Linked DNA regions of Oryctolagus cuniculus. The protein of the gene in region 5 purifies or fractionates together with the protein of the main gene of each other region. This does not show direct contact. Links are inferred from orthologs where the notes say so. Each region holds a gene or a part of one and is shown on either strand. Other genes may lie near its edges.

Evidence for each region.
Region 1: the proteins of KPNB1 (region 5) and RANGAP1 purify together in Homo sapiens (affinity purification with mass spectrometry; 3 studies listed by BioGRID and IntAct, with this or other methods). This does not show direct contact. The link is inferred for Oryctolagus cuniculus from reciprocal best matches to the Homo sapiens genes KPNB1 and RANGAP1.
Region 2: the proteins of KPNB1 (region 5) and DLGAP5 purify together in Homo sapiens (affinity purification with mass spectrometry; 4 studies listed by BioGRID and IntAct, with this or other methods). This does not show direct contact. The link is inferred for Oryctolagus cuniculus from reciprocal best matches to the Homo sapiens genes KPNB1 and DLGAP5.
Region 3: the proteins of KPNB1 (region 5) and NUP214 purify together in Homo sapiens (affinity purification with mass spectrometry; 3 studies listed by BioGRID and IntAct, with this or other methods). This does not show direct contact. The link is inferred for Oryctolagus cuniculus from reciprocal best matches to the Homo sapiens genes KPNB1 and NUP214.
Region 4: the proteins of KPNB1 (region 5) and NUP50 purify together in Homo sapiens (affinity purification with mass spectrometry; 4 studies listed by BioGRID and IntAct, counting the BioPlex papers as one, with this or other methods). This does not show direct contact. The link is inferred for Oryctolagus cuniculus from reciprocal best matches to the Homo sapiens genes KPNB1 and NUP50.
Region 6: the proteins of KPNB1 (region 5) and KPNA6 purify together in Homo sapiens (affinity purification with mass spectrometry; 4 studies listed by BioGRID and IntAct, with this or other methods). This does not show direct contact. The link is inferred for Oryctolagus cuniculus from reciprocal best matches to the Homo sapiens genes KPNB1 and KPNA6.

The regions. Positions count from the first base shown.
Region 1 is NC_091442.1:117,338,417-117,343,635, reverse strand, and holds the start of RANGAP1 (ran GTPase-activating protein 1), read left to right. Parts: upstream 1-1,657; 5' UTR 1,658-1,762; coding exon 1,763-1,847; intron 1,848-2,179; coding exon 2,180-2,329; intron 2,330-5,219. UniProt on the Homo sapiens protein: GTPase activator for RAN. Converts cytoplasmic GTP-bound RAN to GDP-bound RAN, which is essential for RAN-mediated nuclear import and export. Mediates dissociation of cargo from nuclear export complexes containing XPO1, RAN and RANBP2 after nuclear export.
Region 2 is NC_091443.1:21,309,401-21,314,667, forward strand, and holds the start of DLGAP5 (disks large-associated protein 5), read left to right. Parts: upstream 1-1,836; 5' UTR 1,837-1,968; intron 1,969-2,122; exon of another isoform or gene 2,123-2,382; intron 2,383-2,384; exon of another isoform or gene 2,385-2,495; intron 2,496-3,425; exon of another isoform or gene 3,426-3,514; intron 3,515-3,607; 5' UTR 3,608-3,608; coding exon 3,609-3,846; intron 3,847-5,267. UniProt on the Homo sapiens protein: Potential cell cycle regulator that may play a role in carcinogenesis of cancer cells. Mitotic phosphoprotein regulated by the ubiquitin-proteasome pathway.
Region 3 is NC_091432.1:233,685,545-233,690,075, forward strand, and holds part of NUP214 (nuclear pore complex protein Nup214), read left to right. Parts: intron 1-519; coding exon 520-979; intron 980-3,331; coding exon 3,332-3,507; intron 3,508-4,531. UniProt on the Homo sapiens protein: Part of the nuclear pore complex. Has a critical role in nucleocytoplasmic transport.
Region 4 is NC_091442.1:119,924,247-119,928,777, reverse strand, and holds part of NUP50 (nuclear pore complex protein Nup50), read right to left. Parts: intron 2,068-4,531; coding exon 1,887-2,067; intron 320-1,886; coding exon 1-319. UniProt on the Homo sapiens protein: Component of the nuclear pore complex that has a direct role in nuclear protein import. Actively displaces NLSs from importin-alpha, and facilitates disassembly of the importin-alpha:beta-cargo complex and importin recycling.
Region 5 is NC_091448.1:24,002,211-24,006,741, reverse strand, and holds part of KPNB1 (importin subunit beta-1), read right to left. Parts: intron 2,366-4,531; coding exon 2,141-2,365; intron 425-2,140; coding exon 233-424; intron 1-232.
Region 6 is NC_091438.1:140,292,565-140,297,095, forward strand, and holds part of KPNA6 (importin subunit alpha-7), read right to left. Parts: intron 3,409-4,531; coding exon 3,314-3,408; intron 2,119-3,313; coding exon 1,987-2,118; intron 531-1,986; coding exon 442-530; intron 1-441. UniProt on the Homo sapiens protein: Functions in nuclear protein import as an adapter protein for nuclear receptor KPNB1. Binds specifically and directly to substrates containing either a simple or bipartite NLS motif.

The DNA.
Region 1 (5,219 bases), on a different chromosome or scaffold from region 5:
CCTAGGCAGCTGTCAAAGCGCTGGTCCGGTCGGGTCTCTGCTGGAGACCCTCCAGGAGGTCCTCGGGCCCCTTGGAGGGAAAGCCACGATGCTTAGAGCCCTTGGTTAACTCTCCCCTCCTCTCCTCTCCTGCTTCCATCTGTCTGCTCCCTTTGTGGGAATGCTCCAATATGCTGGGCCTCTTCCCCGACAGCCTTCAAATGGTTATTGTTTCTTACCTGATACCTTTCTAATTGAAGTTGCAACTGTCAGAGCCCCCCTCCCCCTTATTTATTTTTATTCCAGTCTGACATACTAAGTATCCTGTTTAGAACATAGCTTCTTTTTGTATCAGTTACTGCTGTGTTCCTGGAACCGTGAACAGTATCCAGTATCCAGTAGTAGTCAAGACAGTGGAAGTTCTGTGTGGTGAATGACTGGTTGTCTTACCTAGAGAAGTAATTCAGGCTTACTGATGAACACAGTGCATGCAGACGAGGGGTTAGATAAGGAGAGGGGGTAGGAAGCTGGTTATTTGAATCCAGAGGAAGACTGGGGTGGAGGTCACAACCGAATCTGAGAAGGAGATGGGGGGAGGCCTTGCGGATAGCACCCCGAGTTCTCGCCTCCATGTCACTCTTCTGAGGTCCCCAGACTACCTGCCCTTTCTTCTCTGGGGAAGTGCAGTGGACCACTGTACCAGTCTGTGATTGTGCAAAATATAAATTGGACCTTCAACCTAACGTCCTAAATTGACAAGCGTCTATGTAGTTTTTAAGTTTGTTTATTTGAAAGAGAAAGAGATCTCTTCAGTCTGCTGGTTTACTCTCCAAACACCTGCAAGAGCCAGGAACCCAAATACTTGGGCCAAAACCTGCTGCCTCTCAGGGTGCACACGAGCAGGAGGCTGGGTTGGAAGCAGAGGCAAGACTCGATCCCAACCAAACACAGGATGTGGCGGTGGTCCTGTAGCCTTTTGTATGCCCAGAAAACTGCCTGGGGGATCCTGGGTGGCTTCAGGAGGGTGCAGGTCACCTGAGAGACCCAGGCAGGATTAGGGTTGAGCCCCACCCCCAACCTCTGGGAAGTGGGTTTAGCTGGTCACCAATGGCCAGTGATTTAATCAGTCGTGCCTGTGCTGTGGGGCCTCCATGAAACCCAGAGGGCAGCCTTTGGAGAGCTGCTGGGGAGCTGTGCAGGTAGAGGGTGGTCCCGGCAGGAAGGCACTGGCAAGCGAGGGTGTGGAACTCTGCCCCCTTCTCCTGTGCCTTGTTCCGTGTATCTCTTCATCAGGCTGATCATTTGTATCCTTTTTATCTTCTCTGAACTGGTAAGCATAGGTGAGTGTAGCCCTTGTTTGAGAGTCTGTCTGGTGGAACCTATTTCACAGCCACCCAGTCAGAAGTGCAGGTAAAGCTACCGGGGGCTTGCATTAGCATCAGGTGGGGAGCAGTGTCGCAGGTGTCTCCAGATAGTGTCAGAACTGAGTGGGAGCAAACCTAGCCGACATCTGTGGTAAAATGTGATTGGGTGCTCTGTGGGGAGGAACCCCTGCCCATCTGGTGTCAGGATAATGTTGGAGAAACTTGAGTTTGCTGTTTCTGTACATTGGCCTATTGTGATGGTAGCTGTTGTGATGTAGGGTCCTCTGGTTTCCTAGGAACCTGGGAGGCCTCCGTGGCTTGCCCAGTCTCCTGGTCAGGGCTACAGCCAGAGGTGCAGTGGGCTGACCCCTGTGCCCCACCCCTAGTCATGCCAGCGTGGGTGGTGGGCATTCCCTGGGATGGATGACCTGGATCCCATAGACATCCATGTCCTGTTTGGGGACTGGGACCCTCAGACACAGAGCAGCCAGGATGATCAGGCAGGTGTGTGCTTGGGTGGACCCTGTGGACTTGGCTCCCATGGGGTTGGTTTTGTGGGTGTCCCCGGTATGGGGTGGGGGCAGTTGGCAGAGGAGGGAGTTAGGGAGCTGCTGACCCTCCAGGCTGACGCTGGACATTTCTGCTTTCCTGCTGCCTCCACCTTTCTGGAACCGTGCCTTCTCTAATGCTGTTTTCATTCCTCCCAGTGGTTTACCTCTTAGGTTCCCCGTGGCAGGGGCCAGTGGGGTCAGGAGGTGGCTGATGCCCCTTCCTGTCCCTCCCCAACCAGGCTCCCAGGAGATCCCTCTTCTTTAATGCCACTTGGGGCTTCTCAGTTTGCAGATCTCCGGGGGAGCCTGCCACTTTGGCCCTCATGGCCTCTGAAGACATCGCCAAACTAGCAGAGACCCTGGCCAAAACCCAGGTGGCCGGAGGACAGCTGAGTTTCAAGGGCAAGAGTCTCAAACTCAACACTGCAGAGGATGGTGAGTTCCTGCGCTGCTTGTGCGGCGAGCGCTTACTAACTGTGGGCCCTTTGAGCCGCACTGTCTCCTTTATTTGTCCAAGTAGCCCGGGCGGTGTTACTGGACCTACCTAGTCTAGTGGGAGGCTGTTAGTTCATTTCCCCAGGAGCATGGGAAGGCTTCCTGGCCACAATGAGCAGCTTCAGAGCCAACAGCCTTAACTTCCCTGGCTTCACTCCTGAGGTCGTAGGCATGGCAGGGAATATCTGCCGTGGGGGGAGGCAGGGCGAAGGCCCTTGGGGGGCAGAATTAAAACAATAGTCTCGACCCTCCTGGGAGGTTCTGGTCCCTGCCGCTAGATGCCCCTGGGAGAGGGATGGGTGCTGCTGCTGCTGCTCTGTGTGTGTGTGTGTGTGTGTGTGTTTGTGTGTATGTGTGCAAGAAAGCACCAGACTCCAGAGAACCAGTAACTGGAATGCAGGTCCTATCTTTCCATCTCTGGCCAAGTCTGCTGGCATGACCAACCCAGAGTCCCCTGGTGTCGGCAGTGAAGGCACCTGTGTCTGTACTTCTGCGATCTCTTGTTCTGGTGCAACCAGGGAAACTGGTCTGGAGTTGCCTGGTTATCCTGGTGTGTAGGCAGCCTTGCTTCCCTGCCCCGGGCCAGAGACCTTGGCTTGCTGGGAGTGTAGTGATGCATACTGCTCACATCTCTACGGGGCTGTATGGTTTCCACAGTTCTTTCTATACTTTATTTTTAAGATTTATTGATTTTAAAGAGTTACAGAGAGAGAGGTCTTCCATCTGCTGGCTCACTCCCCAGATGGCCGCAACAGCCAGGACTGGGCCAGGAAGAAGCCAGATGTTTCATCCAGGTCTCCCATGTGGGTGGCAGGGACCCAAGCACTTGGGCCATCTTCTGTTGCTTTTCCCAGGCTATTAGCAGGTAGCTGGATCGGAGCTGGAACAGCTGGGACACAACTCGTGTCTGCCGGAATACCAGCATGGTAGGCGGTGACTAAGCCACACTGCCAGCCCCCTCCCTGTGCTTTCATCACTGATAATCCTCCCATCATCCCCGTGGGAGGCAGGTGGAAATATTGCCTTTTTATAAATGAAGAAAAAGGACTTAGGAGGCCTTGGTAGCCTGCCGGAGATCCCGCGTCTCGTCAGTAGCAGAGCCAGGATTTAATGGGGTCCTGTGGAATCCCTGTGCCTGTGCTGCTCTTTCTGGCAGTTCACAGATTGTTTATTCATGCCACAAGGTGAACGGGCCCCAAACGAGTGTACAGTGACCTTCTGCATTGCCACCTAACTTAAAGTGCTTAGATTCCTTACCTACGCTCCCTGCAAAGCTGGCTAATGATGACTGAGCAGGGGCAGGACTGGAACCTTCCAAAGCTATGCTGCTTTTATCATGATGGAGCTCATCAACCCCGTTCCTACCCAGCTGTCCTGGTAACCCGGGTAGAGTAGGGCTTCATGGGGGTCCAGGCATTCTTAGTAACACTCAGAAGCGTCTCAGCACAGACAGTGTCTCAGGCCATGCCAGTGCCCCCAGCTGATGACTCAGACAGGTCTGAGTAGACACAGTTCAGTCAGGAAGCACGGATTTGCTATGAAATGTCATCTATTGAACACCATGTCAGGCTAGGAGTAAGTGCCATGCCAGTAGTATCTCAGTTTCCTGTCAGAATTCCTTGGTAGAAGTTTTATCCCTGTTTCGCACATGGGAAAATTGAGGCTCAAGGAGGTGGTGATAACTTCCCAGGAGCACAGCTGTGGGTAGAGGAACTGGGGACAGAACGCAGGTATACCTGCTTCTGGTGTCTGCACGGGCTAGAGAGCATCACTCACTGATCACCAGGTCTGTAGATAGTGAGGTCTGGACTAGGGCACTGCTGGGAGCCAAGAACGCCATCTGGGTCTTCCACCTGGCTGGCAGGGGCCCAAGCACTTGGTTTGTCATCCGCTGCCTTCCCAGGCCATTAGCAGGGAGCTGGATCAGAAGTGGAGCAGCCGGGACTTGAACTGGTGCTCCAGTATGGGAATCTGTGTCTCAGGTTGCAGCTTCACTCACTGCTACAATGCCAGCCCCAACTTGTATGCTTTTGTTTAGATTATAAAATTAATATGGGACCAGCGCTGTGGAGTAGTGGGTAAGGCCACTGCCTGCAGTGCCAGCATCCCATATGGATGCCAGTTCAGGTCCCAGCTGCTCCTCTTCTGATCCAGTTCTCTACTATGGCCTGGGAAAGCAGTGGAGGATGGCCTAAGCCCTTGGGCCCCTGTGCCTGCGTGGGAGACCTGGAGGAGGCTCCTGGTTCCTGGCTTCGGTTTGGAGTGCAGATCCGGCCGTTGGGGCTATTTGGGGAGTAAACCAGCGGCTGGAGGATGTCTCTCTGCCTCTGCCTCTCTGTGACTCTGCCTTTCAAATAAATAAATAAATCTTTATGAAAAATTAATATGTGTTGTAGAATATAGAAACTGATAGAAAGGGGGAGGGGAACATAACTGTTCTTCCCACACAATCAAGGATGTAACTGTTGTTAGTTTTGGTGTATTTGGTGTGTTTGTGAATACATATCACTTTTTTTTTTTAATAAAATATTTATTGATTGATTTGAAAAGTAGAGTTACAGAGAGGCAGAGGCAGAGAGAGAGGTCTTCCTTCTGCTGGTTCACTCCCATAAAGACCACAATGGCTGTAGCTGGGCTGATCCGAAGCCAGGAGCCAAGCCTTCTTCTGGGTCTCCCACATGAGTGCAGGGACCCAAGCACTTGGGCCATCTTCTGCTTTCTCAGGCCACAGCAGAGAGCTAGATCGGCAGTGGAGCACCCGGGACTCAAACCAATTCCCATATGGAATGCCGGCACTGCAGGCGGCAGCTTTAGCCACTATGCCTCAGTG
Region 2 (5,267 bases), on a different chromosome or scaffold from region 5:
GTAGGCGGCAGCTTTACCTGCTACAACACAGCGCCAGCCCTGCTATTTTAAAAACATAGCCAAGGGGTCAACACTGTGGCACAGCAAGTATAAAGCTGCCACTTGCAGTGCCAGCATCCCATATGGGCGTCAGTTCGAGTCCTGGCTGCTCCACTTCCGATCCAGCTCTCAGCTATGGCCCTGGAAAGCAGTAGAAGATGGCCCAAGTCCTTGGGCCCCTGCACCAGCATGAGAGATCTGGAAGAAGATCCTGGCTCCTGGCTTCCTATCTGCCCAGCTCTGACCATTGTGGCCATCTGGGGAGTGAACCAGTGGATGGAAGACCTCTCTCTCTGCCTCTGCCTTTCTGTCACTCTGCCTTTCAAATAAATACATAAATCTTTAAAAAAAAAAAACATAGGCAAAACATTGAAAAAATGTTTCACAAAACAAGACAATAAAGTTAACAAGCACATGAAAAGATGCTCACCCTCAGTCACTGGGAAACTTGCAAAATTAAAATAGACATCATTTCACGCCCATTAGAAAGGTTCAAGTCTGACTAACAACCGGAAATGTTGGAAAGTATGTGCAACAACTGTAACCCTTATACACGGATGGTGGCAGTGCAAAGTGGTACAACCATTTTGGAAAACAGCTAGGGAATTTATTATAAACATAACCAGAATGACCTAGAAATTCCACACCTGTATTTATGACAAAATACGCCTGCAAAAATACTTGTACAAAAATATTTAGAACAACTTCAATAGCCCCGATGTGGAAGCCACCCAAATGTCCATTAGTATGTGAATGAATATTCAATGAGAATACTTCTCAATAAAAACTGCTGAGTTAATCCCAAATACATTATGCTGAGAAGGAAGGCAGTCCCTAGTACCTTCATGCTTTTAGATAGAGAATTTTTACTTAAAATATTTATTTGTGCGACTGCGCCTCTTCACTCCCCCCAAACGCTCAAGCCAGAGCCAGGGAACTCCATCCGGGTCTCTCCAGTGGGTGTCAGGGACCCCACTACTTGAGGCACCGCCGATGCCTCCCAGGGTGCGCATTAGCAGAAAGCTGGATTGGAGGAGCTGGGGTTCGAACATGCGATGCAGGGGTCGCAGCCCCTAGACCGATGGCCACCCCACTGCCCTCACCGTTATGGTGACAAAGTCAGGAGTGGTGGCGGCAGCGCGGGCAAGCGGACCGGACCGGGAGTGCGGGCGCTTCGCCGGCAGAGGACACACCCTGAGGACGTGCTGGGGACACGGCTGCACCTCGATCAAAACTCGTACAATGGTCAACACACACACACACACGATGTTTTTCACTGAAGCTTTTCTGCTTCCACAAAAAAACTGACAAGAAAAAAAGGCGCGCCGGCGACGCTGACTGGCAGGCAGGCGAACTCTGCTGGGGTAAGCCTAGACCATTTAGCAGTCCAACAAGCTCGGCCGCATTTTTGAGAGTAAACAGGGACTTCAAAAAGCCCTGCAAATGCTGGACCCGGGAGGCGGCGGGCCCCACGTCCCTTCCGGTAGAACCCGCGCGTCGCCGCGCGCCTCAGCGGCGGATTCCCACAGTCCGCACCCAGCGCGGCCTCACCTCGAGCCGCTCGGAGCCCCGCCACCGCACCCGCCGCCCAGCCTCAGAGCCTCCACACTTCCCGCCCCGCTTCGGCCCGCGCCGCGGCCCCACCTATTGCTCCCCTCACTCCCATCCTTGGAACCGTCCCTTTAGCTGTCAATCAATTCAAACATCTCACGGTGCGAACCAATCGCAAGCCTCTGTGAGGGGAAGGGGCGGGCGCCTTTCCCGGAAGTATTGGTTAAAGTCCCTCCAATCAGAAGCTCGGTGCGGGAAGTTTGAATTTTGCCGAGGCTCGGATAGGAAGGTGTTCCTGCTTCAGGGAAGACCGAAGTCGTGCAGGCCGAGTGGGTCCCTTTTCCTCTGGCGGAGGCTTCACACGAGAAGGGCCCTCAGGTCAGTGAGTACTGTGGGGCCGGGGTGGGGACGACGCTCGCCGGCTTCCGGTGAGTTCTAGAAGGGTCCGAGGACGCTCGCGCGAAGGCCCCCGGAGGACGGCGGTACCTGGCGCGCCGGATGACGTGATCCCGGCATAGTGAATGTTTGTTGCCTGGGTGGCGTCATTGGCCTCTGGGGTGGTGGGGCAGGTCTTCCCCGCGCGGGGTCTTCAGCGTCCCGGATCCCGGTGTTCCGTCCAGTCGCCCTGCCGGGTCCTGTGACGGCTGACAGGGTCCCGGCGGAGACCCCGCCGGCAGGCAGGACTAACGCCTTCTGGACTTTGGGGCTGCAGCCGCTCCGACAGCCTCAGACGCGCGTGAGGAGCCCGGCTGCCTGGCTTGCGGCCGCCGCCTGGAAGTCATGCGAATGCGGGTGGTTAATTTCCTTCAGCTGGGCCAGGGCGGTGATGGGAACTGCCTTTAGGGTTGTTGTGATGAGTGTGCCTGTATTCCCTCCCTCCGTGTCTCCGTCTTCTCTTGCTATGGGTAGTGCTTTTCTGTGTTTTAAGATAATACGTGCCTTGTAGGTTTTTTTTTTTTTTTAATATTTAGCGAATTAGTACTTGCACAAGGAGACAAATCATAGACTTCGTTTTTTCTTTAAAGTAGTAGAAAATTCTTGATGAAAAACACGGTCCATTATCACTTCTCCTGGGTTCTTAAGAATGTTATTAAGCATCCCACTCAGATTCTCATTTCTTATACTCTGTTGATGCTTACAGTAATGTTAAATTGTAACTTAATTGCATTTCTTGTGCCAGTTTTTCTTTTACTTGAGGTTTTCCAGTGGGCTTTGGCTAATTTTGTTGAAAAATATAGTGTGCCTGTGATACTGTTGAATACAGTATCAGCATTGCATTGAATTAGTCACCCACTGCAGAGCCGATTGATTGCTTGCTTTGGGGGGGACCCTCCCTACTTTGAGTGTGGAACAATATGGAGAATCAGCCCTCTTTGTCCAGTTTAGCTTGGTAGTGCTCTATACCAGCACATAGGTGACCCCTCCAACTCTCCTCTTTTCTTTAACCTTCTCAGTTGGGCCCACTGTCTGTTAGAACTCATGACATCATGTTTAGTGTCCTTCTCCCTTGTTTTGTTTGAGTATGTTCTCAAGGATCTTTCTAAGAAAAGATATGTGCCGAGTAAACAATATGATTTCTTGTATGGATGAAGACAGTAGGACAAACTAATGGAATTATCCTTCTGTATCACCATGGAAATTTTTTTCCTGAAAATCTTTCTCTTTTTTTAATCTTAAATATCCAGTTGTCTGTCTATGCATGTCTTATAGGCATCTCATATAGTGTTTTGTTTTTTTTTTTTTTTCCCTGAGAAATGTTAGGCTGCCTACATTCATCCCAGGGGAAGGTTATGGAAACTTTTGTATACAAACCTAACATTTCCTTTCCCTCTTCCCAGTTGCACTTTGTACTCTTCTTTCTGCAGTGCGTTCTGCGGTAAGCCCAGAGCTGCTTGTCTGAATTTTTATTTCAGGAGGCTCTCAGGTGGGACAGGATTTGAACTGGACTCTTTAATTTTTTTAAATAATAAAATGAAAATTCATGTAAGTTGGCTTCTATTTCCCTTTTCCCTGACAGGATGTCTTCGTCACATTTTGCCATTCGACACAGAAAAGATTTAAGCACTGAAATGATTAGAACTAAAATTGCTCATAGGAAATCACTGTCTCAGAAAGAAAACAGACATAAGGAATACGAACGAAATCGACATTTTGGTTTGAAAGATGTCAACATTCCAAACTGGGAAGGTAGAATTCTCGTTGAATTAGATGAGTCATCTCAAGCGCTTGTTCCAGAAAAGGCCAGTGCCAAGCCAAGTAAGTAAAGGTCTGTTGTGATTTTCAGTACTTTGAGGAGTGGAGTAAGCGTGGTTTAATGCCTGTGAGTAAAAGCAAAACGAAAACAAATCCTGGCCAGATGAATGAGGTTTTGAAATGTCATTGTAACTTGATATCCTCTACAACTAAATATATAGTCAACCCTCCATTTTTGAGACCTTTCTCCCAGAGAAGGGTTTTTGTTTCTGTATAGTCAACGAACCGTGGATTGAAAATGTTAAAATAGAATTGCATCATTATTGAACATGTACAGATTTTTTTTCTTGTCATTCTCTAAACAGTACAACTGTAGCATAGCATTTACATTGTCCTAGGTTCATAAGTAATCTAGAGGTGATTTAAAGTATATAGGAAAATGTATATAGGTTACAGGCAAATATTATGCCATTTTCTATCCATTGGAGCCTTGGAACAATCCCTTATGGAAGCTGAGAGATCACTGGACAATTTATTTAAGAGAAGGGCTGTGAAGGTCCCTAGCTAGATTGTGGAGTGTTGCGGAGTATTGTAGACTTCATCATTTATACTGTCTTACAGTAATTGTAAAGTTCTTCTGGGAGTTTGGGTAAGATAAGTGTTGAAAGATAAATTGATAAGAAACAAAATAGAATGATTAAAGAACCCATGAGGAAGAATACTTTGCCAGTGGAAATTAGAGAAAAGTAGAAAGAATTCATATTCACAGTTTGTCCAAAAGGATTTAGGGCCATTAGGAAGGAAACGATCAACTAAAGAAAAGAATCAACTTAGAAAAAGATACAGATAGCATCTCAAAAGGCAAAGGATGGAAGTTTCTTAGACAGAAATGAGGTGTTAAGTTAATTGTTCACAGCTTTAGTTTTTATCATTTCCTAGGATCAGTGTAAAATGTGACACACGTAAGATTCTAAATGTCTTCAAGCTAAATGACTACGTCAAAAATGGGATTGGACTGAAAAAAGCCAGATTTGTCATTTTTGTGATTCTGGGAAAAGAAAGAATCAGACAAAAGTGTGTTTTTGTTTTTGCCTCTACTCTTGTCCTCTCAAATCTAACCATGTCAGTATGCTATTAAAATATCCCTTATGTCCTGCCTACAAAGGATGAGATGGAAGTGGGCCTACTATGTTCCATAGAAGACAAGTAGGTAACCAGGGCTAGAGAAGAATGAGTCAAGATAGGAAGCTAAATCCTAGACAGCCCTGGGGACCATCATTTCAATGACATTGGCTTTTTCTTTTTTTTAAAGATTGATTTATTTATTTGAAAAACAGAGTTACAGAAAGGCAGAGGCAGAGAGAGAAGTCTTCTATCTGATGGTTCACTCTGCAAATGGCCATAATGGCCGGAGCTACACCTATCCGAAGCCAGGAGCCAGGAACTTCTTTGGGTCTCCCACACAGGCTCAGGGACCCAAGGAC
Region 3 (4,531 bases), on a different chromosome or scaffold from region 5:
TGCTTCACTCCCCAAATGGCTGCAATGACAGGACTGAGCCAGGCCAAAACCAGGAGCTTGGAACTCCATCCAAGCCTCCCATGTGGGTAGCAGGGTCCCGAGGGATCCAAGCAGTTGGGCCATCTTCCACTGGTTTTTGAGGAATGTTAGCAGGGAGCTGGCACAGCCAGGACTTGAACTAGTGCTCAAATGATGCTGGTGTGGTAGCTTATCCCACTGCACCACAGCGCCAGCCCTGAGTCTCTGTTTTCAGAAAGTGGAGTTTCATTTGGGTCTCCCACATGGGTGGCAGGGCCCCAGCACCTGGCCCATCTCCTCTGCTTTTCCCAGGCCATTAGTAGGGAGAAGGATGGGAAGTGGAGCAGCCAGGACTCAAACCAGTGCTCATAGAGGATACAGATGTCCCAGGCGGTGGCCTTACCTGCTGTGCTACAACACTGGCTCCCGCAAACCCTTTTTCACTAGCTTTCTGTTGCATGGCCTTCCGGTGTTAACATTTTCTCCTTTTTTTCTTTGCAGGAAGCACTCCTACCACCCCAACCTCCTCTCAAGCCCCACAAAAAGTGGATGCCTCAGCAGTTACAACCCCTGCTTCCCTTCCAGCTGCGTCGCCTGCTGCTCCCATCACCACCTTCCATTTGCCTCCTGCTAGTGGGGCCCCTGCCGTGTTCTCCTTTGGTTCTGCATCCTTAAAATTTGCTGCTGCTGCTCCATTTCCCAGTGGCCCTGAGAACCCCAAAGCAACGTTGGGTTCAGGCGTCTCCACCTTCTCTTTCACTCCTCCTTCCAAAACCTCACTAGCCCCCACCCCTGCAGCTTCCCCCATAGCCCCATCTGCTGTTTCATTCTCCTTTGGATCATCGAGTTTTAAGCCTACCCTGGAAAGTACCCCGATGCCGAGTGTGTCTGCTCCAAATGTAGAAATAAAGCCCTCCTTCGCACCCTCAGCATCTGCAGTCAAGACCAACCTTAGTGAAAAGTAAGTCATTTTTCAAGTTTGATTGTTCTGAAGGATGGATAGAAATACTGCATATTATTAGCTGGAAGTAGAGTCACTATGATTGGAGTTACTAGTTGGAGTTACTTTTCTTTCCAAAGGAATTTCCTGCAGATGGTAAAAATCAAACCAACCTAAAGGCTTTGCAGCTCATCAGTGGATCTAGTCCTAACGGGTATTAGATAACATTTGTCTATTTTCAAAAGGCGGAGTGACAGTGGGAGACAGAGAAATCTTCCATCCACTGGTTTACCCTCCAAATGTCCCCAACACTGGGACAGACAGGCCGAAGCCAGGAACCCTATCCGCGTCTCCCGTGAGGACAGGAGGACCCAAATGTTTGGTCCATCATCTGCTGCCTCCTCGGTGCGTTAGTAGGAAGTTGGATTAGGAAGTGTGGTACTCTGGGGCCAGCACTGTGGCGTAGTGGGCAGAGCCACTGCCTGCATCCCTGGCATCCCATATGGGCACCAGCCAGTTTAAGTCCTGGCTGCTTCACTTCCGATCCAGCTCCCTACTAATGTGCCTGGGAAAGCAGGAGAAGGTGGCCCAAATCCTTGGGCCCATGCACCCATAGGGGAGACCAGGAAGGAGCTTCTGGCTTTGACCTGGCCCAGTCCTAGCCATTGTGTCCATTTGGAGAGTGAACCAGAGGGTGAAAGATCTCTTGACTCTCCCTCTCACTCTGTAATTCTGTCTTTCAAATAAATAAAAAATATATCTTTGGGGAAAAAGGAAGGACAGCACTCTGTTGATCTGTGGCATCCTATGAGGCAGCTTAACCTGCTTAAGCATAAAGCCTGCTCCCAGCATGTTAATTTTTTTATTTCTGTGGAGTGATATTTAAATACTTGTTTTGCTCTTTTAGATTACAAAGGAAGTATTTTTTCTTTTTGAAAAATGAACATTTCAGTGTATACATCTTGGAAGGGAAATTAATCCCTCATGTCCACCCTGGACTCTAAACTGTTCTCTGTGCAGCCACCAAAGTGAGCTTGAGAAACTGTGAAGACAGTAGGTGACTGCCCAACCCAGCAGTCCCCGGGGCTTCTGAATGTAGTCCAAGCTCTAGCGTGGTATTCAAGTTCCTACAGGCCTAGGTCCTGCCTGCTCACCTCTTCCCCGCTCCCCCCCGCCCCCTCTCCCTCTCCCTCTCCCTCTCCCTCCCTCTCCCTCCCTCTCCCTCCCTCTCCCTCCCTCTCCCTCCCTCTCCCTCCCTCTCCCACTTCCCTGCTCCCCTCCCTCCCTCCCTCCCTCCCTCCCTCCCTCCCTCTCCCCCCCCCATTCTCCCCACTAGAATGTGAGCTTCTTGAGGGAAGCAGTTGCTCACATCTATCCCTCTTCCCTAGAGAACCTGCTCTCCCTTGCTCTCTCTTGTTGCTTTAGTGAGGTGCTGTGGTGTCCATTGTTAATGTTAGATCAGTATATAACTACTTCATTCTAAAGGTTGCATAGTGCTTCTTTTTGTTGGCTGTACTGTTTATTTGACCAGTCGTCTAATTCCGGGTATTTGGATTGTTTGCAGATGTGTTCTGTCAGTAGAACTGACTTTACGTTCCCACTAGACCCCAAGCATTGCAGACATGATGACCTGCTTTCCCCGTCTACTTTCAGTCCCCAGAGGAGATGATCACCCCTAAAATGAATTCTTAGTAGTTTCTTTGGTAAAAGAGAAGTAGTAAACTCCTCTAAGCATAGCTAAGTCACACCCCCCCCCCCCACTTTTTTACTCCGCCTCATAGAATAGAAACTAAGCAGTTGATGTGATGATAAATTTAATTTCATCTACAAGTTACTTGATGTCTTGGTTGTTCTTAAGTAAGCAGACAATAACAGAAATGTTTCCTTCTAACTAATTTAATAAGAAGTAGTTTATTTTTTTAAAAGATTGATTTATTTATTTGAAAGAGTTACACGTAGAGAGAAGGAGAGACAAAGAGGTCTTCCATCCTCTGGTTCACTACCCAGTTGGCCACAATGGCTGGAGCTGTGCCAACCCGGAGCCAGGAGCCAGGAGCTTCTGGGCCTCCCACGCGGGTGCAGGAGCCCAAAGACCTGGGCCATCTTCCACTGCTTCCCAGGCCATAGCAGAGAGCTGGGTTGGAAATAGAGCAGCCGGTTCTCAAACCGGTGCCCATATGGGATGCCAGCACTGTAGGCAGCGGCATTACCCACTATGCCACAGCACCAGCCCCATAAGAAATAGTTAAAACATTTATGTTTGGTGAAGGCAATAAAGTATGGAGAGGAAGTTACCCTGTGGTAACACTGCTTGCGAGCAGTGTGAAAGATCTGTAGCAGGCTCTTCTGATGCATTCCGGTTACCGTTTTCAGATTTACTGCCTTGGCTACCTCTGCTCCTGTTAATAGCTCCCAGAGCACACCCTCGATGTTGCCGTTCTCTTCCACCTCGAAGCCAGCTGCTTCCGGACCTCTCAGCCTCCCTGCGCCTCTCTCAGCATCATCTGCTTGCTTGTCAGTGAAGCCCTCGGCGTCTCCCTCCCCGTCAGGTATGATTGAAGTCAGCAGCTTCAGGCCTGAGCCCTGCCTCCTCAGAGGAACAGTGCGCAGTGCTCTCAAGAGTCCTGGCTAACGTAGCTGCACGATAGCCGGGCACGATTCTCTCCGGCTCCCGTGTCTCATCCTCAAATGCTGTGACGTGCATGCTGTGAACCGGGAGGTTGGCAGTGCATCACCGCTGCCGGCTGCTTTCTCATGCCTCTCCTGCAGCTCAGGGATTCAAAGCAAGCGTCTTGCTGTTTGACGTTTCTCTTCATGTGGAAGATAAAGTCTGTGTTGTGTTGCTGTAACAGAATACCTGGCACGGGGTGATTCACAGGACCAGAGATTGGGTTAACTTACAGTTCTGGAGACTAGAGAGCATGATGCCAGCAGCGGCCGGGCCGTGGTGAGGGCCCCTGGGTACATCTCAAAATGGCAGAGAAGCGGCAAGGACTCGAGAGTGTAGAGTGGTCCTGCGTTCTAATAACCCGCTCTCTTGAGAACTAGCTAATTTCAGGAGACCAGCATTAATTCCTCCCGAGGGTGGAGCACCCATGAACCAATTACCTTTCCCCAGGCTCTGCCTCTTAAAGGTTCTATCCCCTAACACCATTACACTACACTGGGGACCGCGCTTCCAGCACATGGACCTTTAGGAGACAGACCACATCCAGGCCATCGCAGGGAGGTACAGGTGCACAGAGAGAAAGGGCCTGCACAGACTCTTGAGCTTACTGCTCAGTCAACCCTACCGTGAGCAGAAGCTTCAGAAAGATCATGAATGGGAATGATTATAGGCAGCTTGCATTCAAGTGTCTTGTACAATTCATGGATGCGTGTCCTTGTTCTTTTCCTTTTGGACCTACAGGGAAGTTGCGGAAGTTGTCAGATGCCTTTCACTGAGGTTCAGCACTTGATAACAGTTTGCTCCGTTTGCTGTATCTTTTTTAATGTAAATTTTTTCCTGAAACATTTAGTTGCAGACATCTTGAAATGTTTTGCTCCTAAATACAAGTACATATCTATTAAAAA
Region 4 (4,531 bases), on a different chromosome or scaffold from region 5:
GTTGAATCAAACAGGGAAGGAGGCTGCGTTTCAGCCGACATTCTGTTCATTTCATTTTCGGAATTACTACCGCCACGCTGCTGTTCAATATTTGCTAAGTATTTCTCGTAGTCTTTGAAGATGGGGCTCAGGTCACAGAGCGGGTTTGTGTTCACGTGCTTCACTATCCAATCCCGAACGGAGCAGTTGAGGGCCGCCAGCTGCTTGTGGTACGCGCTCGCCGCGAGGCCGGAGGGCAGCTGCGGGCTGTCGCCATTCGTTTTGGGATTTGCGATCTTCTTATCCAGCAAGGCAGTAGGGCCATTTGCAGTCACAGAACCTACGGAAATTAAAGTTTGAAGAATTTATTTTGAAGGGATTTAATTAAACCATCTGGACTTTATGCTATGCTGTCTTCCTACTTTCTATTTTTGTCAATTTTTGCAATAATGCAAGAAATACATGTTCAAAAAGCAGCAGTATGAACTGATGGTCATAAAGCAAACCACTTTACGGCAGCACGGCATCCACTGCACGGCAGAATGATGCCTCTTGGTTGTAACGATCTTCTCCTCCAACAAGCAGACCTAGTCTCAAGCCACTGTTAGAACAGCATAAAATACAAGCTCTAAAAGTTGTTGAGACACACTAAGGCAGCATTTATACATTAATTATATATTAACATATTAACAGAAAATGCTGTTTCAAAATCACACTAAACATGCTGCTTAAATCTAACGGTACACTGCTCGGAATACAACTAACCTGAATTCGGCCAGTCAGGATCCCTGTAACATTTAACCTACGACGCGCATTCTCTGCTGCTAACCCCGAGAGACCTCAACTAACTTCCTCACAACAGGATGGGGCGGAGGGCGTCGGCACGGCCGCCACGCGCCCCGGGGACTCCTGCATCTCGTACCGCAGTGCCTGGTTGAGCCCCAGCTCTCCACCTGCTGACCCAGCTTCCTGGAGGCAGAGGCTGACGGCCCGAGTTCTTCGGTCACCTACCACCCATGCAGGAGACTGGCTTTGGCCTGGCCCATCTCCAGCTGTTGCAAGCATTTGGGGAATGAACCAGCTGATGGAAGATCTCTTTCAAGTTAATAAATAAATCTTAGAAAAAAAAAATTTTTTTTTGACAGGCAGAGTGGACAGTGAGAAAGAGAGACAGAGAGAAAGGTCTTCCTTTTGCCGCTGGTTCACCTCCAATGGCCGCCACAGCTGGCGCGCTGCGGCCGGCGCACCGCGCTGATTCGAAGGCAGGAGCCAGGTGCTTCTCCTGGTCTCCCGTGGGGTGCAGGGCCCAAGCACTTGGGCCATCCTCCACTGCCCTCCCGGGCCACAGCAGAGAGCTGGCCTGGAAGAGGGGCAACCGGGACAGAATCCGGCGCCCCGACCGGGACTAGAACCCGGTGTGCCGGCGCCGCAAGGCGGAGGATTAGCCTAGTGAGCCACAGCGCCGGCCTTAGAAAAATTTTAAACAGGGCCGGCATCCCGAATCAGAACGCAGACTTGAGTTCTGTTGCTCTGCTTCTGACCCACACCCTGTTAATGCACCTGGGAAAGCAGCAGAAGGCCCCAGTGCGGGGGTCCCTGCCATCCACGTGGGAGACCTGGTTCCAGCCTGGTCCAGCCCTTTGGGAGTGAAGCAGAGGACAGAAGACTCTCGCTGACTCCCCCTCTTACTCTGCGTTCCAAACAAATTAAACCAATCTTTGAAATAAAAGCCTGTGTTCTAGCCACATAACTCTAAGTAGCCAATATCCCCTGAGCTGTATCCCTTTCATTATTACTGTTTTTGCTTAGTCTCAGGACCAGAGTAAGTCCAAGAAAAAAACGTGCATGCAAAGTTGTTTCCAGAGACCAAATTTACAGACACGGCTGGGACAGGGCTGTCTACTTACCAAAGATCGCCTTGGGCTCTGCTGTCTTGGTGCCGGTGAGCGGAGGGGCACTTGTGCTGTTTCCATTGGACAGTCCTTCTAGGGGCTTCCCTCCAGGGCCTCCACCAAAGCCAGAAAACCCTCCTCCTCCAGAAGGCACCACCAAGCCTTTAAATCCTTTAAAGGCCCCTCCAGCATCTGGCTGGAATGGGAAGGGGAGCACACGTCAGCAAGTCTACACCATCACCCAATGAGTGACACTATTCCCCTGGCTAAACAGGATTTAGACTGAGTATGTGTCCTGCATTAGAAGGGTACCTTCTGGCACAAGCAGCCACAAGAAATGAGACACAAAGATTTTATTTTTATTTCTGTAACAGCTAGGGAAAACACTCAGAATTTATGGATACAGGCACTCTTAAAAACCCATTACCTGTGCATATCTAAGACATAGGAGATAAGAGACTAACATAAAGAGTCAAGCACACACCACCCAGATCAGTAACTGAGAACACTCGACACAGCTCAGCCCCTAATGGGAAACTTCTCATGGGCGCAGCAGACTGCCTAATGAGATCCGATACTCCACCATCCACGTTGCCTTCCAGTGGGACCACACACGCCACCATCCACCCCACCATCCGCCTCCCAGTGAGACCACACACCCCACCACCCACCCCACCATCGCCTCCCAGTGAGACCACACACCCCACCACCCACCCCACCATCCGCCTCCCAGTGAGACCACGCACGCCACCATCTATCCCACCATCTGCCTCCCAGTGAGACCACACACCCCACCATCCGCCTCCCAGTGAGACCACACACCCCACCATCAGCCTCCCAGTGAGACCACGCACGCCACCACCCACCCCACCATCCGCCTCCCAGTGAGACCACACACCCCACCACCCACCCCACCATGCGCCTCCCAGTGAGACCGCACACCCCACCATCCGCCTCCCAGTGAGACCACACACCCCACCATCCGCCTCCCAGTGAGACCGCACACCCCACCACCCACCCCACCATCCGCCTCCCATCCGCCTCCCAGTGAGACCGCACACCCCACCACCCACCCCACCATCCGCCTCCCAGTGAGACCACACACCCCACCACCCACCCCACCATCGCCTCCCAGTGAGACCGCACACCCCACCACCCACCCCACCATCCGCCTCCCAGTGAGACCACACACCCCGCCATCCATCCTCCGTGTCTCCCGATGACACTGCACACTCTGCCTTCCACCGCATCTCCTAAGAATGTCAGTGGCTTTCAGTCCACGCCAACTCCACCACGCTCAAATCTCAGATCTAATTCCTGCTAACTGGGCGAGCCAGGGAAACGTCACTCTCCCTCTTGCTGGTCTTTCTGGTAGGTTTCCTACTGCACTAGGCTTGCTCACACCTCCAACCCGACATGTTCTGGGAACGTCTGTGGTTACGCATGAAGTTCGAGCTGCTGCCGCTCAGGACTCTCTAGAGCAGGCTCCTCAGGTTACAGTGCTCATGGACGCACAATTCTTGTAAAATCTTTTCTTCATTCAAAGTAGTACTTACACCACAGAAGATACTCTGCCTCAAGCCAAACACCTGAGAGAGTTCACAAATCCCAAGTTCCCACACAAATGAACTACAACCATGACCTCACCAAAATTCAGTTAAACTGGAACCTCTTCCTAGAGCCAGTCTAAATATTATTAAGTGCCTTTCCAAACACACACAACTTTCAGTGACATCTACAGAATTTCAGACGTTCATTCAAAATTGAAACTCTTGGGGCCGGTGTCTTGGTGCGGAGGGTAAAGTTGCCACCTGCAACACCAGCACCCTGTATGGGCGCCATTCAAGTCCCAGATGCTTCACTCCCCAAACAGCACCCTGCTAATGCCCAGAGTCTAGACCTGCCACCCTGGGGGAGACCTGGAAGAAGCTCTTGGCTTAGGCATGGTCCAGCACCGGCCACTGCAGCCATCTGGGAGTGAACCAGTGGATGGAAGATCTCTGAATTTCAAACAAATCTTTTAAAAAACAAATCTATACACTATTGATTTCTATCATTTTTAAAAAGGTTTGTTTATTTATTTGAAAGTCATAGTTACAGAGAGGAGAGGTAGAGAGAGAGGTCTTCCATCTGGCTCACTCCCCAACTGGCTGCAACGGCCAGAGCTGTGCCGATCCAAAGCCAGGAGCCAGGAACTTCTTGCGGGTCTCCCACGCAGGTGCAGGGGCCCAAGCACTTGGGCCATCTTCTACTGCTTTCACAGGCCACAGCAGAGAGCTGGATTGGAAGTGGAGCAGCCGGGACTGGAACCGGCGCCCATATGGGATGCCAGTGCTTCAGGCCAGGGTGTTACCACTGCGCCACGGCGCCGGCCCCTGATTTCTATCATTTTAAAGAACGATTCGTGGACAGGCTGTCAAATGCAGCAGCCGAGGCCGCGCTGTGGCGTAGCAGGTAAAGCTGGCTGCTCCGGCAGCACTGGCGTCCTCTATGGGTGCCAGCTCGAGTCCCGGCTGCTCCACTTTCGATCCAGGTTCCTGTTAAATGTGCCCTGGGAAAGCAGCAGAAGACAACCCAAATACTTAGGCCCCTGCACCCATGTGGGAGACCCGAAGAAGCTCCTGGCTTCAGCCTGGCTCAGCCCTGGCTGTTGCAGCCCT
Region 5 (4,531 bases):
CTACGACTGCTCTAAGTCGTTCGGGAGCCAGTTGCCATGAGTCAACAGCTCCCACTGGCTCCTGTGGGTGGCATCTCCCCCGCACTTTAACTGAGGAAATCAAAAAGGAGATGCTATTCCAAAAAAGTCTTCCAGTGAGGTAGGTCCATTTCTCCCCCTCACCCCTCACCTCCCACTTTCTTGCCATGGTTCAGGCAAACTCCTTTTCTCTCACCAGGAAAAAACCCCTTACCCAGCACACATTTGATGCCACTCTGGGTTCAGCACTGAGGCCCTCAATCAGACACTGTAGCAGGGGAGCCAAGTAGACATCATTGATGGCAGCTTCAGGAAGCAGTTCACAAATTCTGCCCACAGTCCACGCAGTTGTATCTCGAACAACTACACTTGGGTCTTTCATTAATTCTATGAGGGTGGGCATAGCCTACAAATACAACAGTTATTAGCAAAACAAAACAAAGATTAAGACTCATGTTGACTCTGTCTCTCAATAAATATAAAGTTGGGGCTAGTTTTGTGGCACAACTTAAGCTGCTGTCACCACCACCTAATACCAGCTTCCCATATACAGGCACTGGTTTCAGTCTTGGCTGCTTCACTTCTAATCCATCTCCTTGCTAACGCTCCTGGGAAGGCAGTTGAGGATGGCCCAACTCCTTGGGCCCCTATACCCAGGATGGCTTCAGCCTGGTCCAGAGCCAACTGTTGTGGCCATTTGGGGAGTGAACCAATGGATGAAGATCTCTGTCTCCATCACTGTGGTGTAGCAGATAAAGCCATCTGCGACACTGACATTCCATATGGGTGCTAGTTCAAGTCCTGGCTGCTCCACTTCCCATCTATCTCCCTGCTTATGTGCCTGGGAAAGCAGTGGAGAATGGCCCAAGTGCTCAGGCCCCTGTACCCACATGGGAGACCTGGAAGAAGCTCCTGCCTTTGGAAGGGTTCAGCTCTGGCTGCTGCAGCCAGCTGGGGAGAGAACCAGTGGATGAAGATCTGTCTCTCCTTCTCTGTTAACTCTGTTGTTCACTGGCAGTTGATGCCCACTGGATTTTGAGCACAGGCTTTGCTCCCAATTCCAGCTTCCTTCTAATGCAAACCCTGGGAGGCTCAAGTTCCTAGGTCCCTGCCACCAACGTGGGAGATCTAGACTGAGTTCTCAGTTCCCGGCTTCAGCCTGGAACGTGCCTGTTGCGGACATCTGGGGAGCGAACCAGTGGATGGAAGCTCACGGACTCTCTGCCTCTCAAACAAAAAATAAATCATGCTGATTGCTACTTCAAAACAGGAAATACTGACAAATGGATTTTAACTCAAAATATCCCTGGGGCTGGCGCGTGGCTCACTTGGCTAATTCTCCGCCTGCAGGGCCAGCATCCCACACGGGTGCCGGGTTCTAGTCCCGGCTGCTCCTCTTCCAGTCCAGCTCTCTGCTGTGGCCCGGGAAGGCAGTGGAGGGTGGCCCAGGTCCTTGGGCCCTGCACCCGCATGGGAGACCAGGAGAAGCACCTGGCTCCTGGCTTCGGATCGGCATAGCTCCAGCCATAGCAGCCATTTGGGGGGGTGAACCAACGGAAGGAAGACCTTTCTCTCTCTCTCACTCTCTATAGCTCTACCAAATTAAAAAATGTATATATATATATATATATATATATATCCCTAAAATCTTTTATAAAACACATGCTTGAAACATCTGTCAAAACTAATACAAATAGAGTGAGTTATGAAAGTCCTCCTCCCTTTATCAAACCCCAGTTCCACTTGATGCGGTGTGGGTACTGTCAGCAGGCTGCACTGAACGCTCAGCTTCCAGGATGCAGTTAGGACGGCACCAGGCCACATCCGAAAGCACCAAGTTCTATTACACCACGCAAAAAAACACACTACTTCCATAGGAGATCCTTATTACAGATACCATTCTGCCCAAAGGATGGACTATTAATCCCATCATTAGTTTTGGAAGCAATATCTAACAAAGCTGCAAGGATAAATATCAAGTTGAGAGGGTACCCGGACAAGAGGGATTAAGGGGAAACTTTGTGGCCTTTTCTGCATTTCCAACTTCCTGGGTCATAGGACTTATGCCATTAAAAAAAAAATCCTACTTTGACTTTCTACCCCCAAATTCCTTTAGTTTCACCTGTATAACTAGTGGTTTGAGCTGATTGGGCTCTGGTCCTTCCAAGATACAGCCGAAAGCCATCACTGCTGCATCCCGGTATCGCCAATCCGGGTTCTTGATGTGCTCCTTAATGAAGGGAAGGACGTGGGGGACGATGTCATCTTCACAGCAGGTGGCCAGGAGCATGAGGCACACCCCTGCTGCTTTGCAGGGGTTCCAATCATCATCATCATCATTTTCATCCTGGTGAAAGAACGTGGTGCTAAGAATGATTTTAATTCAAAAGGTTCTCTGACCACTCCAACGTAAACTCCAAGGAAGTATACAACACCAAGCCTTTATATTTGATCTCTTCCACAGTGATACATTACAAAATAAGGGGTAGCGCTGTGGTGTAGCAGGTTAAGCTGCATGGGCAGTATCCCACATGAGGGCCAGTTCAATTACCAGTTGCACCACTTCGGATCCAGCTCTCTGCTAATGCACCTGGGAAGGCAGTGGAAGACCACTCAACTGCTTGGATTCCTGCCATCCACGTGGGAGACCCAAATGGAGTCTGGGCACCTAGCTTCAGCCTGACACCGCCCCCTGGCTGGTGTGGTCATGTGGGGAGTGAACCAGCAGATGGAAGATTTCTTTCAAATGCCTTTCAAAAATACTAAATTACAAATCTTCATACAAGATGCAGATGAAAGATTCTACCTAGTACTACACAAAACAACAGAATGAACAAACTTTGGCTGCATACAACAAACATCAGTCTCAAATATGTATATGGATGGGCTTTGTGGTACAAATTTAGCTGCCATTTGGGACATGTATATCCCATTAGTCAAGTGCTGATTCAAGTCCCAGCAACTCCATTTCCAATGTAATTTCTGCTAAGACACTTGGGGAGGCAGCAGATGATGGCCCAAGAACTTGGGCTTCCTGGTTTTAGCCTGGTCCAGCTCCAGCTGTTGAGGGCATTTGGGGAATGAACCAGCAAACAGAAGACTCCTCCCTCTGTCCCTCTCCTTTTCAAATAAACAAAACTTTAGAGCAGGGGGTTGGCACTGTGGCGCAGCAAGTGAAGCTGCAGCCTGTAGTGTCAGCATCCCATATGGATGCCAATTCAAGACCCGGCTGCTCCACTTGTGATTCAGCTCTCTGCCATGACCTGGGGAAGCAGAAGATGGCTCAAGTGCTTGGGCCCCTGCACCCTCGTGGGAGAGCAAGAAGCTCCTGGCTGCTGGCTTTGCATAGGCACAGCTCTGACCATTGCAGAGCTGTGATTGAAACAGCAGATGGAAGATCTCTCTGCCTCTGCCTTTGAAATAAAAAAAAAAAAAAAAAAAAAAAAAAAAAAAAAAAAAAGCCAGACCAAATAAGCGGAAGGTACATGATTTTGGTCCAAAAATCTACCAAAATTAATCTATGGAATTAAAGGTCAAGAAAGCAAGGGGGTTCACAAGTGGGAAGAATATATGAAAACAGCCTCTGAGGTGCTATTAACAGTCACAATTCAATAAATGTGGGGCCGGTACTGTGGTGCAGCAGGGTAATGCCCTAGCCTAAAGCACCAGCATCCCATATGGGCGCTGGTTCGAGACCCAGCTGCGCCACTTCCAATCCAGCTCTCTGCTATGGCCTGGGAAGGCAGCAGAAGATGGCCCAAGTCCTTGGGCCCCTGCACCCACATGGGAGACCAGAAGAAGCTCCTGGCTTCGGGTTGACACAGCTCTGGCCATTGCAACCATCTAGGGAATGAACCAGTGGATGGAAGACCTCTCTCTCTCTCTCTGCCTCTCCTCTCTGTGTAACTCTGACTTTCAAATAAATAAATAAATAAAAACAATTCAATAAATGTTCATAAACAAAAATCACACAAAAAAGGACTGTATTAGAATCCAAAGTCACAGGGGACGGCATTGTGGTGCAACGGGTTAAGCCACCACCACCTGTAACTATGGCAACCCTCTGAGTACTGGTTTGAGTCCCAGCTGCCCCATTGTCCATCAGCCCCTGGTTGAGGCATCTGAGAAAGCAGCAAAAGATATCCTAAGTACTTGGGCCCCTGCCAATCCATGGAAGACCCAGATGGAGTTCCAGGCCTCTGGCTTAAGACTGGCCCAACCCCAGTTGTAGCCATCTGGGAAGTGAACCAGTGGATAGAAGACCTTTCTATCCCTATCTGTCCAACAAAAAAATTATGACCTCAGGTCCAAGTTCCTTATTGCAGCCATTCACAATATGTAGTAATTTAAGGCTGGCTGCCTACACAGTTTCAGAAAACCATATACATAACTTAAGATAAAAAACTAGATCTGTAAGGGGCTGGCGTAGCGGGTAAAGCTGCCACTTGTGACGCTGACATCCCATATAGGTGTCTGATCCAGCTCCCTGCTAGAAAAAGCAATGGAAGACGGC
Region 6 (4,531 bases), on a different chromosome or scaffold from region 5:
TTCATACATTTTTAGTTAAACGTAGCTGGGGGAAGGGATGGAGGGCTCCAGATGATTCTTTACAGGGTCTTTAACTTATGATTTGTAACAAAGCTATCCAACATGCCTACACAAAACCCCGTAGGAAATGAATGTACTCTACAGAACAGGCTAGGTCTTTCTAGACTAGTCTTCCTTTCTCCCTTGGCTCAAAAAGGAGGCTGATATGACCAACATGAGGACCTAAAGTGCCTTGAAATGAAGAACAAGGTTCCCCTTGGCACAGATCTGAGATGCAATCTTTCTTACTCAAAAAGATACCTAGTTTTTACTTCAGCAATTGGAAAGTACTTTTAGACTTTGTATTTGTCATCTTAAGGGATCAAGTAAGCTATCCCCAAATGACCTGCCACATGGCCGTCCTACAGGTGCCCCAGGTACAAAATGACTGTAATTACTCACGTTAATAAAGGATTCAGGATGGAACAGTTCAAGACGTAATCCCGGCAAACAGAGCTGTCTCCAGCTATGTTTCCCAGTGCCCAGACAGCCTGAAAAGGAAGTGATGAAGCAATCCCTCAGCGCCTGTGGCTTCCATAAGTATTTTATAGACAACCACAGAGTGAGTCCCCATCAGGCTGCCATGTCAAGGCTCAAATCACACGAACCAAGCTCAGGTAACCTCCCTGCTGAAGTCCTTACTGAGCATTTGCTCTTCAAGGACCTCTATGCTCAGAGTCCCTGGTTCAGTGAGGAAGGCGGCTGCCAGCTGTATGACAGACTGAGAAGCCAAAGAGCTCCCCGTTCCCATCCACTCAGACAGAGTTCAGTAAATTGCACTCTTGAAGCTGCCTTGGACCAACTCGTAAATGTAGTAATTTCGACTCGCAACTTCTATACAATCACCAAGAATCCAGTGAGAGAAATGCAAGTTGTATTTTATTGCTATAATCTTTGGGAAATGGTAGTGCAGTGTCTTTCCCGCCCTACTTCTGACACGTAATGCACGTGTGTAGTTTTTCCCATACCAACAACCAATTCTCAGACACTGACTGCTTGTTCAATACTTTAATTTAAATGTGACCCTCACTCCCGAGGTTGAAGCAGATCCCATAGATTAAGGACCCACAGATCACTCCCACGTAACCTGTGCCTCCACTTCAGACACCAATCACAAGTCCCAGAGACTACCTAAACTTTTAACTGACTAGAAAGAAATTTGGGGATTCTTACAGAGAACTCAGAAAACACTACTTGTATGTGGAACAGCCAAATGAAAGAGACACATTAGACAAGGTATAAAGTGAGGAGGGTAGTGTACAGCTTCCATGTTATCTGTCACCTTCCCAGTACATCAATGCGCTCATTAACCCAGAGGCTCTCACCTTCAATAGTTTATAACCCAATCTCCAGATCCCTCCTCTTCCTTGGGAGGCAGTCAGGAGTTCCCACATTCTATGTTTGTATTTTTCTGGTGACCAACCACTGAAAGGCTACCGAGGTTCCCCAAACTGAGTCACTTTGTTAATACAGACTCAGATGTGTTCTAAAAGGGCTCTATAAATAGCAAAAGACATTCCTGTAACTCAGAAAATTCCAATGTTTTTAAGAGCACTGTGTCAAGACTGGGACTAAAACCAAATGTTGGTATTATACTGCAGCTACCATCAAGAATCAAGCCAAGGGGAAGGCGCTGTAGGTTAAGTCTCTGCCTGTGGCACCAGCATCTCATGAATGCAGGTTAAGTCCTAGCTGTTTCACTTCCTATCTAGCTCCCTGCTAATGGCCTGGGAAACCAGTGGAAGATGGCCCAAGTGTTTGGGACCCTGCACCCATGCAGGAGTCCTGGAAGAAGTTTCTGGCTCCTGGCTTCTGATTGGCCCAGCTCTGCCACCGTGGCCACTTGGGGAGTGAATCAGTGGATGGAAGACAGTTCTGTCTATAACTCTGCCTCTCAAATAAATAAATAAATCCTTAAAAAGAAGAACTAAGCCAAATCAGTATTACCTGTTCTTGTACATCCTCAAAGTCCGAGTTAAGCAGCTCTATGAAAATGGGGACGGCCCCTGCTTCAATGACAATTTTGGTTTGCTGGGAGGTTCCAGAGGCAATGTTTGTCAGAGCCCAGGCAGCTTCAAACTGAAAGGTAGATTAAGTCACCATTGAGAGATCATTCCACAGTGTGCAGCCATGTTTACTAGCTGGCTCAGAACAGTAAGCCTCTTGCCCATGAAAAACAAAACAAAACAACAAAACACATAAGCTTTTCCTCTCCCTTCTTTTAAATGGTGAGAAGAGGCAGTGATATGACAACGGGAAGGTGGAATGGTGCTTCCGTGGTCAAATTTTGTACTGTAACAGCATCCCCGGGATCCCCATCATGTCATTTATTTATTTCCTGAGCGTCACAGCCACCTATGAGAAGACTTGGAAGTAGATTAGAGTCTCTGATTTGTAATGGAATGGTGTGTTTGCAATATTCTTATCTTCCTTTGAGTTTTCAAAAAAAAATTGACAGATAACCTTCCATATATAAAAACTGACAGATAACCTTCCATATAAGAATTTGGTGTATGGTAGGAAAAATACCTCTTGCCTACTATATGACACAGTCCTCCAAAGAAATGACAATTAATCTTCCTTAGAAGGGAACCGGTGTCATTCACCCCTTGGGCTATCCTCTCTCCCTTACCATTCTTTATCAGTAAGGGAAAGGAAAACATAACTCAATATATATACTGACGGCGGAATTGTTAAATCTAGCCAATCGGGGCCAGCACTGTGGTGTAGTGGACTAAGCATCTGCCTGCAGCACCAGCATTCCATATGGGCACTGGTTCTAGTCCCTGCTGCTCCTCTTCCGTTCTCCAGCTCTCTGCTATGGTCTAGGAAAGCAGTAGCAGATGGCCTAATGGTTTGGGCCTCTGCACCTGCTTGGGAGACCTGGAAAAAGCTCCTGGCTTTGGATTGGCCCAGTTCCAGACGTTGTGGTCATTTGGGCAGTGAACCAGCAGATGGAAGACCTTTCTTTTTGTCTCTCCCTCTGTCTGTAACTCTACCTATCAAGAAAATAAATAAAAATATTTTTAAAAAATCTAGCCAATTAACAAATGCATTACTCTACATAGTTATTATTGAGAATGTTTTAAGGAAGAGATTTTGTTCTCTTCTTTATATCTTTATAATGTCAAGATCTCTGAGGCAACTGATGCCTTACTTGAAATGTTTCCTCATCTGACTTTTCTATCTCCTGAGAGATATATCTGCAGAAATACCCCATTCCAATTTCTTGGAAAAGGGCTTTATTTGGGAACTCTTTCCCTTGGGGCCTCACCTGTAATGTACAATTTTCATTCCTCTTCAGAAACTCCACAAACCGATCCACTACCCCTGGAGTGTTGATAACTTCATCTATTGGAGGACTAGGCTCTACAAGAGGGAGATGGAAGGAGATAAAAACTGAAGAGAGGCTTTGGTACATCTATTCACTTGTATCAGCTCACGCTTCTTTCTAGACACTTCTAACAAGCATTATAAACATACCCAAACTCCCTTCTGTTCAGGTGGTTTATCAATACCTGCTCAGTTTCTCTTTAAGGATTCATTTATATGAAAGACAAAGAGATTAAAAAAAGACTTTCCATTCATGAGGGCTAGGACTTTTGGTATGGTTTACTATAGCCTCAGGAGCTAGAACTGTGGTATGTGGCAGTTGTTCTATAAAAATTTGGTGTATGGTGGGAAAAACACCTCTTGCCTACTATATGACACAGTCCTCCAAAGAAACGACAATTAATCTTCCTTAGAAGAGAAATATGTAAACCAGTGTCATTCAACCCTTGGGCTATCCTCTCTCCCTTACCATTCTTTGTTTATCAGTAAGGGAAAGGAAAACATAACTCAATTAGGACTGGATTTACCCTTAAGTAGTCCAACTATATCATACAGTTCAAAGATGAATAGGTAGGGGGTGGCTGTTGTGATGGAGTGTGTTAAGCTCCTATGTGGGATGCCCTCATCCCACTTTAAAGTTTTGGCATTGAGTCTTGCCTCAGTTTCCAATCCAGCTTCCTGCTAATGAGCTTGCAAGGTAGCAGATGACGGCCCAAGCAGTTGAGTTCCTGCCACCCATGTAGGAGACCCACATAGAGTTCCTGGCTCCAGGCTTCAGTCTAGCCCAGCTTTAGTTGTTTTGGGAATTTGGGGAATGAACCAGTAGATGGAAGATCTGTCTATCCTTGTTTATCACTCTGCCTCTCAAATAAATAAATACATAAACCTCAAAAAAAAAAAAAAAAAAAAAAAAAAAAAGTAGGATTTGATCACAGAATTGAGGGAGATGCTGCACAGATATTTGGGAGCCAAAGAAGTAAGAGAGAAAATCCAGTATAAAGGTGAAAACATGGGGCCAGTGTTGTGGCAAAGCAAATCAAGGCGCTGCCTGCAATGCCACTGTCCCATTTTGGTGTACTGGTTCAAGTCCCAGCCATTCTGCATCCAATCCAGGTTCCTCCTAATGTGGCTGAAAAGGCAACAGAAGAAGGTCCAAGTG